Linked DNA regions of Drosophila melanogaster. The protein of the gene in region 1 purifies or fractionates together with the protein of each later gene. This does not show direct contact. Each region holds a gene or a part of one and is shown in the gene's direction. Other genes may lie near its edges.

Evidence for each region.
Region 2: the proteins of Hil (region 1) and pnut purify together in Drosophila melanogaster (affinity purification with western blotting; one study listed by BioGRID). This does not show direct contact.

The regions. Positions count from the first base shown.
Region 1 is NT_033778.4:20,615,001-20,619,866, reverse strand, and holds the start of Hil (hillarin), read left to right. Parts: upstream 1-1,649; 5' UTR 1,650-1,800; intron 1,801-4,866. Other genes in the region: CG9945 (uncharacterized protein), read right to left, coding at 1-387, 440-586, 647-911, 979-1,158. UniProt on the Drosophila melanogaster protein: May act as a modulator of septin function during cytokinesis in the developing nervous system.
Region 2 is NT_033778.4:8,235,443-8,240,953, forward strand, and holds pnut (peanut), read left to right. Parts: upstream 1-1,828; 5' UTR 1,829-2,614; coding exon 2,615-4,234; 3' UTR 4,235-4,855; downstream 4,856-5,511. UniProt on the Drosophila melanogaster protein: Involved in cytokinesis and possibly cellularization. Also acts as an enhancer of the sina gene, thus having a role in photoreceptor development. May be involved in p53-dependent apoptosis.

The DNA.
Region 1 (4,866 bases):
TGCGCGAATCGATGTAGGTGATGCCATCGTAGTGGCCGATGAAGGATGCCACAGACTTGGACAGGTCCCGTGAACGGAAGGTGGTGCGCAGGTCGTAGACCTTTAGCAGGCCGTCGTCACAGCCGGCGATTATCACATTTGGATCCTTATCGTGTAGGAAGCACACCGAGTTAACATCCTTGCCGGGCATGCGGTGGGTGCGCAGGATCTGTGTGTTTCTTGTGCGAATGTCGGTCACGATGACCGTGGAATTGTTGCTGCCCCCGATGATTTTGTCGCCTGTTGGCGAATAGCGCAGCGAGAAGATGGCCAACCTATGGCTTGGCAGTCCATTGACATCGATCCACTGGCAGTCGTCTTCCCCCCCATTCACGGGCATGATGAACACTGAAGGGGAAAACAACTTAGTGTGGATAAACAGATTGGGCGGAGTACCTACATGAGCGGGACCAGGTGCTGTAGGCGAAGTGCTCGCCATTCGGACTAAAATCCGCATCGATGATGCTCCACTCAACATCGCGGGCTCGGATGCGATTCAGCAGGTGATAAGTGCCCTTGGCGCCATCGTAAATGCGCACAAAGCCATCTGGAAGGGGTCAAAATCGTGTTTTAATGCCAATCGGAAGCGTTAATCATGAATGCTGACCTTGACAAGCGGTCAGCAACTTGCTGCCCGAACGATTGAACTTGGTCACAAATATTTTGGATTCCAGCGACATCAGGCGTGTGGCCTTTTTGTTTGGTATGTAAAGATTGGATATGTAGCGCTGCTGGTTCTTGGAGAACGATGCGCTGTGCGGCGATGCCAACCCATTCTCACGCTGCTGAAGGGCGTGCACCAGGTTCCAGCGATTGTTCGGATTGCTCACTAATCCACTCGACGCCTGGATCTCCTTGTACATATCAGTTTTCTGGAAGATTGCGTGGGCAATAAATTACTATTAATTGTTATCTGGGGACGGGGTATTTCGTCATTACCTGAAATTTAACTAGATCGGGCTTGCCTCGTATAACTGGCATCTCGCTGCTGCAATAATCGGAGCGCAGATCCATGGCGTTCACCGTAAAGTTGATCACGTTGAAGCCCAGCTCGTTGTCCGAAGAATCAAAATCGTCGTCTTCATCGCTATTCATCTGTATAGCCAATTGGTTCCCCATAACTTTTTGCGTTTTCCCTTTTGCACTCTTTTGTTATTAATTTCAACCTATCGTTTCTTCGATAATTGTTGCAGCCAGTGAGACCGCAGGTGAAGAGCCTGAAAATACCACGATGTTCAAGTTCAAACGTTGAACACCTATCGATCTATCGCAGCAGATTACGAACAAAAAATTGTAAAACCTTTCTATATAAATATTTATATAAATTAAAACTATTAAAAATGCTAAGCTGAAATGATAGTTATAGCAAGGAAGTGTAGCCGAGGGCTTTATAAAAAAAAACAAATGAAATTATAGATTTTCCAACGGGGACCAGAGTAAAATATTTTTAACGATTACTGGAACTCCTAGGCTGATCCGTGGACGGCTATCGATAGTAGTGGTGGGCACGCGCAGTTGCCTTTGCGAAGCGAGCTTTTTGGAGCTATGTAAAAGCTTTACCCCCAACAAAGCTCGACTCAGAGCGGATTCCATTCCGCGAATAGCAAAGCAACTAGTCTCAAATCGATCGTGATCGCGCTCGAGCCGAACGGAAAAGAAACGGATCGAAAAGAAAAGCGGCTCGAAACCTGTGCTAGTGTGAGTGAACGCGTCCGTGTGTGTCGTCGTGCTGTGCTGATTGTGTATGAGTGGTTGTGTTTGGTAATGAAATTTTGTTACATTCCCAATATTCGAAACCTGCTGTTCGGAGAAGAGACTTTTGGAGGCACAACAAATAATGCCGAAAATGTGATAAAGCGCAGAATTGGAATTCCGGATTCATGGACCTTGCGAACTGAACAATCTGCTCTCCCCTTTTTCTATGCCTGTGTGTGTGTATGCAATATGTGTGCTTGGATCTCGCTGGGGCTATCGCTCTGTGTGTGTGTGTTTGTGTGTCGGTGTGCGCCTGCGTGTGTGTAAAATTTATGATAAATACTTTTGCACAAAGCGCGCCCCTTTGCAACCAGAAGAAGAAAGTTGTTTAGCATATATGCGTAAAAGTAATAGAAATACACATAAACGGCAAAGAAGTGTGTCAAAAAGGGCCTAGAATAAGCACTCCATGTATCGCGTGTGTATAATCTAGGCGAAAATAACAAAAATAATAGCGATGCTGGGGAAATAATCTACGGAAAAACTGGAACAACCGACGCCGCGGCTGCAGACACGAAAAAAAAGTGAAAGATTGCAGGCTGACGTTTGAAGTCGAAGCTGGGCCTGCGTCACGGCATAAACACACACATAAACCAATACAAACGCAAATAGACGGGGTGGGTGGTTGAGGCGACACCACCTGTCATGGGCGCTGGTTGCACCCGCCCTCCATCCCTTTTAACTACACGGGTTTCGTATGTGGCTTCCAATTATTGTGGCTTGCTCATAAATTATTTTCGGTGTTTGTGCTTCTAATTTATTGCCAGCGAAATGGGCGATTTCTAAAAGCAATTCATTGTTCCATTCAATTAGCGACTTTGAAATTGGCACAGCAAAGCAAGTACCTTGATTTTTTCAAATTTGCCCAACCAATTCTCACACTTTTCAAGAACAGTTAAACGTTTTTGACAAGTACTTTTGTATACTTTAAATAGTTCGCCTAAAAGTAAAGCGAAATGGGAAAACAGTTTGAATTTTATAATGTTTATTAATTTAACAATTATTTAAGTTCATCACATTGAAATTATCTGCCTTTATTTCCATAATCTAAAAAGGGGAATCATTGCCCTGTTCGACTTGTTAGTTATTCACATTAGTGCCATTGTCACATTTTAAGTTTATATTTCTCCCCTCATATCGCTACTCTGCAGTGACGCAATCATTTGCATCTTATTTTAATTCCTATGATTGTTTCACTGCCAGGCGGAATAACCAGTTGCTTTTTGTCTTGTTGTTTGCTGCTTGGCTGTTGTTTCTTTGCATTTATCAAATCTTTGTATCTGGCTTTAATGTGATTAGCGGTGGCAATTATGCCAATTCAAGTTCATTATACTTGTGTTGCTGCTGCAGCAGTTTACTGTTATTATTGGTATTTATTTAATTGTCATTGTTAGCGTTTCGTTAAGCAATGCCAGCGATAAGGGAAACGACAAAAACAACAGCAGAGATACCACATCGAAACGAAAGACTTAGGCAACGAACTTGTTCGCCCGATGCAAATGCTTCCGAGTGCTTATCAATTTATTTAAATGTCTCGATTGCAAACAATTGCCCGCGCAGAGCAACTTTCGTTTTTGTGACTGCTTCTCGCGTTTGTCATTTTATTTTGTATGTTTATATTCCATTCGCATGGCATTTCATCCGCATTGAGGTGGAAAAGAAACCCAAAGCTGGCACGGAGCACAGGCATGTGTGCGAAATTATATGCGGCATCTCGGGTTACCTGCAGTCCATAGCTTCTTAGTCACACCCAAGTGGCCATGGTGGCATGATGGGATGATGGAACGATATTGTGATAGGTGATGTAAGTCGCACGAGGCGTTTTGTCAAAGCCGCCCCATCCAATTTGCAGGGTCTTCGCGGCTATCCACGTATTCATGTCCATTACAATTATAATTACACGCTAATTATGTCAGCCGCTAAGCGTAATTGGACCATTCAATCACACCGATTATGATCGCATCAACAGATCAAACTGCCATTTTTGTCGCTCTCGATGTGGGCGTTGTTGATTGATATTCGAATCGATGCGGGGGCTATGGCCAAAGAGCTAGACGAGATTGTGGACAGGTTAGTCATCGATGGAGCTTATGGTCTTTAAGGGCACAAATCTCCCGCTCGTCTTGATTCACACATCAATTTGTTGCCTCACATTCGATGTGGTCGATCAAAAGGCAGACCTCAAAAGCGGAATAAATTTTTATTCACAGCCAATCAAAATAATTTGGTGTTACAAAATGTCTTGGCGGCCTTCGCCGCATTTGCATTGGCGTTTTCCCCTTTTCCATTTCAATTTCTTACCATTTTCCATTAGTGCTGCAGCTGCAATGTGGCATGCAATCCACAGATCAGCAACCTTCGATGCCGCAACTGGCGCTAATCATAAGGCCTTGCCACCACCCATTCCCCAACCGATCCCCAACCACCCACCATTCATCGCCCGGACTCAACGTTCATTAAACTTGAAAAGAAAGCAAAACGATGACTTTGAGTTCGACTGCGGCTTTTGGCTTTGTCTGCGCAACTGAGCCGCATTTGTTTTAATTTTGGTCAGAGCAACAGACGCCGCAACAACAATGATTTCAATTAAAGTAACATGCACTTGCTCGCACACACTTACCTTCACACAGTCTGCTTTTCCACTTCAATTTAATTGTTGTAGCTAGACAAAAACCGAAAGGAAACCTGCCAGTAACAATCGCGTCAATTAATCAAATGGAAAATGCAACTTTTGTGCCGCTGCCAGGCGGCAGTTGCAAGTTGCACGAGCCAGTTGTACGACGAATGCAGCAACTCAAGTTCAATTGTGGCACGTTTGGAGCAATCTCAAGCTCGACTTCCCAAGCGAGGTCAATGGCAAGGCGAAACGGATTTAACCCTTTGCCGCTGAGAAACGCCAAAACTCTTGTCCACCGTGTCCAGTTAATTAAGATTCATTAATAATCTGCCCATAGCCAAAATAAATGAAAGTTTTGGCTCGCATCATGACAAACGCCTGCGCAGAATCAAAATTTTTGTTTTTTGAACCCTGATATGGTATATGGTGATGGTCGAAAAATCTTATCGCAGCCC
Region 2 (5,511 bases), about 12 Mb from region 1:
ACACTTTCACATTTATTGGGCGTACCCTAAATAACTAGCACACATGATGGGCTGGGTCGAATCCATATCATTGATTCCATTGATTGGTGACCCATGCCAGCTGATGTAACGGTCACTTGGTGGATCAGCTGCTCCTAAGCCAACATTTGCACTAAACTGTCCTTGCTCTCGTGCCAAGAATTGGCACAGCTGCCGACTCCATTCTCCCGGCTGCATCCCCCGCCACTTCTTCGAGCCACGAGAACAATGGACTTGGCCCGGACAATGGTCGGCGCTAAGAAATAGTGACTTTTCAGGGGCGCACGGGTTTTCCTCTGGCTTCTAGCGGGCCCTAATTGCTGGCAAGCATCTTACATAATATTGAAGAAGATGCGTCTCCGAATGGATTTCGTATGGAGTGTGCCTGATGCGAAACAGCTGCTCAAGATCTCAAAACTATGAACACGAGGAAGGGTTGCGGGGAGATTAGGTGGGATTTGTTCGCTGTAAAGATTTGCGGTTGCAGTTGCGGTGGCACATTTCAAGACCTAACATCTGTCGTAAAAAACATCTAGTTTCGAAGCCCCCAGCCAAAAATGAAATGTATTTAGCATTGATGAATACGATAATAGAAAATCAACTTTTTAGTGCTATAAAAAAGTAGTGCTATAAAAAAGTACGAAAGTACATACGCGTATGTTTTTAATCGTTAAAGATGCACCCAAAAAAGCAATATAAAATTAGTTTAAGGAAGCTAAAGTAAATATACATATAAATAGACTTAATGAATAAAATCGACTTTCTCCTTATATTTTGGGTTAATCAAATGGTTTCGGATGGTCATAAATGTTAAATGTATTAATAAAGCTTAAAATAAAGTTTGATAAAGAATGAAAAAGAATTCATTAAATAACTTTTTAGAACAAAAAATATGTATTGAGATCATAAAATGCAATCGACAATCAAATTAGTAAGAATAACAAGAAACAAGGGGATCTCTAGCCACAAAATTCCACAGAACTTCCCTCGATTTACCTTTTCCCTTGACGACAACAACTGTAAATCCTCCAATAAGTACAGTCATCCCCTAGGGTAAAAATCGAGCCACCGCGAGTCATATCAATTCATAAATGCATATTAATTCCGATAGAGGCTAAAATTAAAACAGGAGTCGCTTTGGAATAATGTGAGAAAAAAACTTTCTCACGATCACCTTGTTGTCGCGCAGACGGCGTTTGGTGGAAATCCACGTGCAAAAGGGGGAAGTTCGGAAGCAAGGAAGGCTGGATGGTAGGAAGGAAGGAAACCACCACCACCAAGCAGGCGGAGTAGGACGCAGGACCCTCTTAATGGTGGTGGTTAGTACCTCCCTCTCCCCCTCCCCCTCTACCAGTGACGATCGCCAGAAGTGCATGAGAATTTAAATTACAAACAAACCGAAACGCAGAGCGCACAATCAACGGGCTTTGTCCGTGTGCGTGTATGCATCGGCATGCGATGACGCGTAGAGGGTGGGGTAGAGAGGGTGCCAGGACGAGGCGTGTGTGGGAACTTTCGACGAGGACACTCGAGCATGAAGCGGGTCAAACGACAGAGGCCAGTTATTATCCAGCTCCTTTTTATGGCACTTCTCACACGCCCACAAGGGGCGTTAGTTAGCTCACTAACCTCTTTCCAAACAGAGTCGAATGGAATTATAGCAAGTGTGAGAGAGAAGCGAAAGTCGAGTTCTCAGCGTCACAATAACAACACCCACGCGACAGAAGCATCTTTAGTTCTCAGCGAGAGAGATAAGCTCAGCTTCCTCTTCTTCTTTCTCTGCTCCTTCTGCTGCTCTCACGGGCATGCGCAACATTGCAACAAAAATTAAAGGGAACCCGTAACCACAAAAGTCATGGGCGTAGTGAACAATTTTATTTAAAAACCCGTTATGGTGTACCATAGAAATTAATTCCCTATAAAAATGGACAAACATAAACTGAAAATGTTTTAAAATAAATATAGTTCGATATGTAGTCAAAAAACCCCTCAGTAATCCACCCCTGCTTAAGGCAAAAGTCAAAGTCATCTAGACGGATAATTTCTTCCTGTGCATCAGCGGGCGATTGTAATGCGATCCGTGGCCACTCCAGTGCAGTCATTCAGGCCAGAAATCTGGAATCCCAAGTGCTGGGACACATGAATGCGTTTCATTGCCTATTTTTAAACATAACATTCCATTTCAAGTGATAAGGCCACCAGAAAATAGTTCTCTTTGCCCGTTTGCATGTGCATTGCTGCGGCAGTATGGGTGCGTGTATCTCTGTGTGTATGTGTCGCATTACTCATGCGCTCTCACTCCAAGCGTCGTTTGGTATATTCGCGGCTCTCGTCCGGTATTTTCCAGGGTCACACTGCGCCTGAGCTGGGGCGTTGTTGTTGCCTGCGAGAGCGGAGCAGAAGTATTTATCGCGTTGCAGCGCACGGTCCTACTGACACAGAAAATGCAAGAAAAGTAAGAGCGTAAAAGAGCTGGCGTAGGCGTGACAAAAGCGGTGAAAAAGCAACGGTTCTGTGCAAGCAAAGTGAATAAATACAGTGAAGCCCACCTGCGAACGAATATCGAAGGCTCAAAGGCGAATTTGGCGCTATTCCAATGAATAGTCCTCGCTCGAACGCGGTTAATGGCGGCAGCGGCGGCGCCATCTCCGCTCTGCCCAGCACTCTGGCCCAACTGGCTCTGCGCGACAAGCAGCAGGCTGCGTCGGCATCGGCGTCCTCTGCCACGAACGGCAGCAGCGGCAGCGAGTCCTTGGTGGGCGTCGGTGGACGACCGCCCAATCAGCCGCCCAGTGTGCCAGTGGCCGCCAGTGGCAAGCTGGACACCAGCGGCGGAGGCGCCTCCAACGGCGACTCGAACAAACTGACCCACGATCTGCAGGAGAAGGAGCACCAGCAGGCGCAGAAGCCACAGAAGCCACCGCTCCCGGTGCGCCAGAAGCCCATGGAGATCGCCGGCTATGTGGGCTTCGCCAACCTGCCCAATCAGGTCTATCGCAAGGCCGTCAAGCGGGGATTCGAGTTCACTCTGATGGTGGTGGGCGCCAGTGGGCTGGGCAAGTCGACGCTGATCAACTCCATGTTCCTGTCGGACATCTACAACGCGGAACAGTATCCGGGCCCCTCGCTGCGCAAAAAGAAGACCGTGGCCGTGGAGGCCACCAAAGTAATGCTCAAGGAGAACGGCGTCAATCTGACACTCACGGTGGTGGACACACCCGGATTCGGTGATGCCGTTGACAACAGCAACTGCTGGGTGCCCATACTGGAGTACGTGGATAGCAAGTACGAGGAGTACCTGACAGCCGAGTCGCGGGTGTACCGAAAAACCATTTCGGACAGCCGGGTGCACTGCTGCCTCTACTTCATAGCGCCATCGGGACACGGACTCCTGCCGCTGGACATTGCCTGCATGCAGAGCCTGTCGGACAAGGTAAATCTGGTGCCGGTGATCGCCAAGGCGGACACCATGACGCCCGACGAGGTGCATCTATTTAAGAAGCAGATCCTTAACGAGATCGCCCAGCACAAGATCAAGATCTACGACTTCCCCGCCACGCTGGAGGATGCGGCCGAGGAGGCCAAAACCACGCAGAATTTGCGCAGCCGAGTGCCATTCGCGGTGGTGGGTGCCAACACCATCATCGAGCAGGACGGAAAGAAGGTCCGGGGTAGGCGTTATCCCTGGGGCCTGGTGGAGGTGGAGAACCTGACGCATTGCGACTTTATAGCGCTGCGCAACATGGTCATACGCACGCACCTTCAGGACCTCAAGGACGTGACGAACAACGTCCACTACGAGAACTACCGCTGCCGGAAGCTATCCGAGCTGGGATTGGTGGACGGCAAGGCCAGGCTGTCCAACAAGAACCCACTCACCCAGATGGAGGAGGAAAAGCGGGAGCACGAGCAGAAGATGAAGAAGATGGAGGCCGAGATGGAGCAGGTGTTTGACATGAAGGTCAAGGAGAAGATGCAGAAGCTCAGGGACTCGGAGCTGGAGCTGGCGCGGCGCCACGAGGAGCGCAAGAAGGCGCTGGAGCTGCAGATCCGGGAGCTGGAGGAGAAGAGACGCGAGTTCGAGCGCGAGAAGAAGGAGTGGGAGGATGTCAACCACGTGACGCTCGAGGAGCTCAAGCGACGCAGCCTGGGGGCCAACAGCAGCACGGACAATGTGGATGGCAAGAAGGAGAAGAAAAAGAAGGGTCTGTTCTAAGTCAACACGCTCAAAACCCCCATTCCCCAAACCCCCTTCCGCTCCTCGTATACTTAAGCGCTAATCTCGAGAACAAAGCAAATGAAAACCCTAGCGTATCCTACTCTTATTCCTACCACATAAAGTAATTCGAAAAGTGCATAAATATATCTATTGTTGGGCCCAGCCGCCCCACAAGGCTTCTATTCGCACAGCAATCGTCCAGCGACGGCGTTGCATTTGTTTTCTACATACTATACAAGTACATATAACACATAGCAGTTGCAGTATTTTACCAATATATATCCACGCATTACTTGACGAAACACATTTGCTAGCCTAATGAATTGAACACGCAAACGAATTAAATCGAGACAGTAACAAACGGTATTTGCAAAATACTTAAGTATCTTAAAGCCTAATCATAATAAAAACTAAGCAGAATGTACGAGTGCGAGGCGAAATTGATCCTAAAATTAATTATAACGAATAACGAATCCATGTATAACGTATGCTATTGATATTGTAATTGTATTTTACCTATTATGCATAAAGTCATTGAACACCCGAACACACACCAGCAAGGCAAAAGCCGCAAGCGCAGCAGAAAACATCAAGAAACAAAATATACTCTTGCATTTTATAAAATAAAGTCTTCTCCTTAGTTTAACTACATAAAAGCTGAAAAGCATTCCATATTAAATTCGTTGTTTACTCAACTGCAGCGGAACGGGTCCGCTTGGCACACGTCTGGGTATGATAGGCATGACGATGGATATGGCGATTTGGATATGACGATTACATTCTCAATATCTTAGTTAACCATGAGCTAATGGATGAGTCATTCCGCAGGAGCATTGACTGGGAACGTGGCTCGAGTCAAGCGGATAGGTAAATCACTCGCCGCAAACAATTAAAAGTGTTTACCTCTCACACTGCTATGTATGTATGTATGTATGTGTGATGCTTATTGGACCAGTGAAAACTAACGCGAACCGTTGGTGCCACCTAAAAGTATCATGCTTTTCGTTTCCTAAGAAATACCCTTTATGCAGTTCTTGCCCATATGTGCGACTCAAGCAATTACGAAAAGCCTGACACTCCCTATAAGTCAGTACATGTACATATACAATCTTTCGCCTTATGCGGCCACAATTTAGGTCAGAATAATAGATATTCATCGCAGTTGGTAGCAATGAGCTTTATTTTGCAAAAATCAAGATAATATCAGATAAGATAAGCTGACTTGCGTGATGTACATATGTATGTACATAAATATTGGATCAGTTTAGTCATAT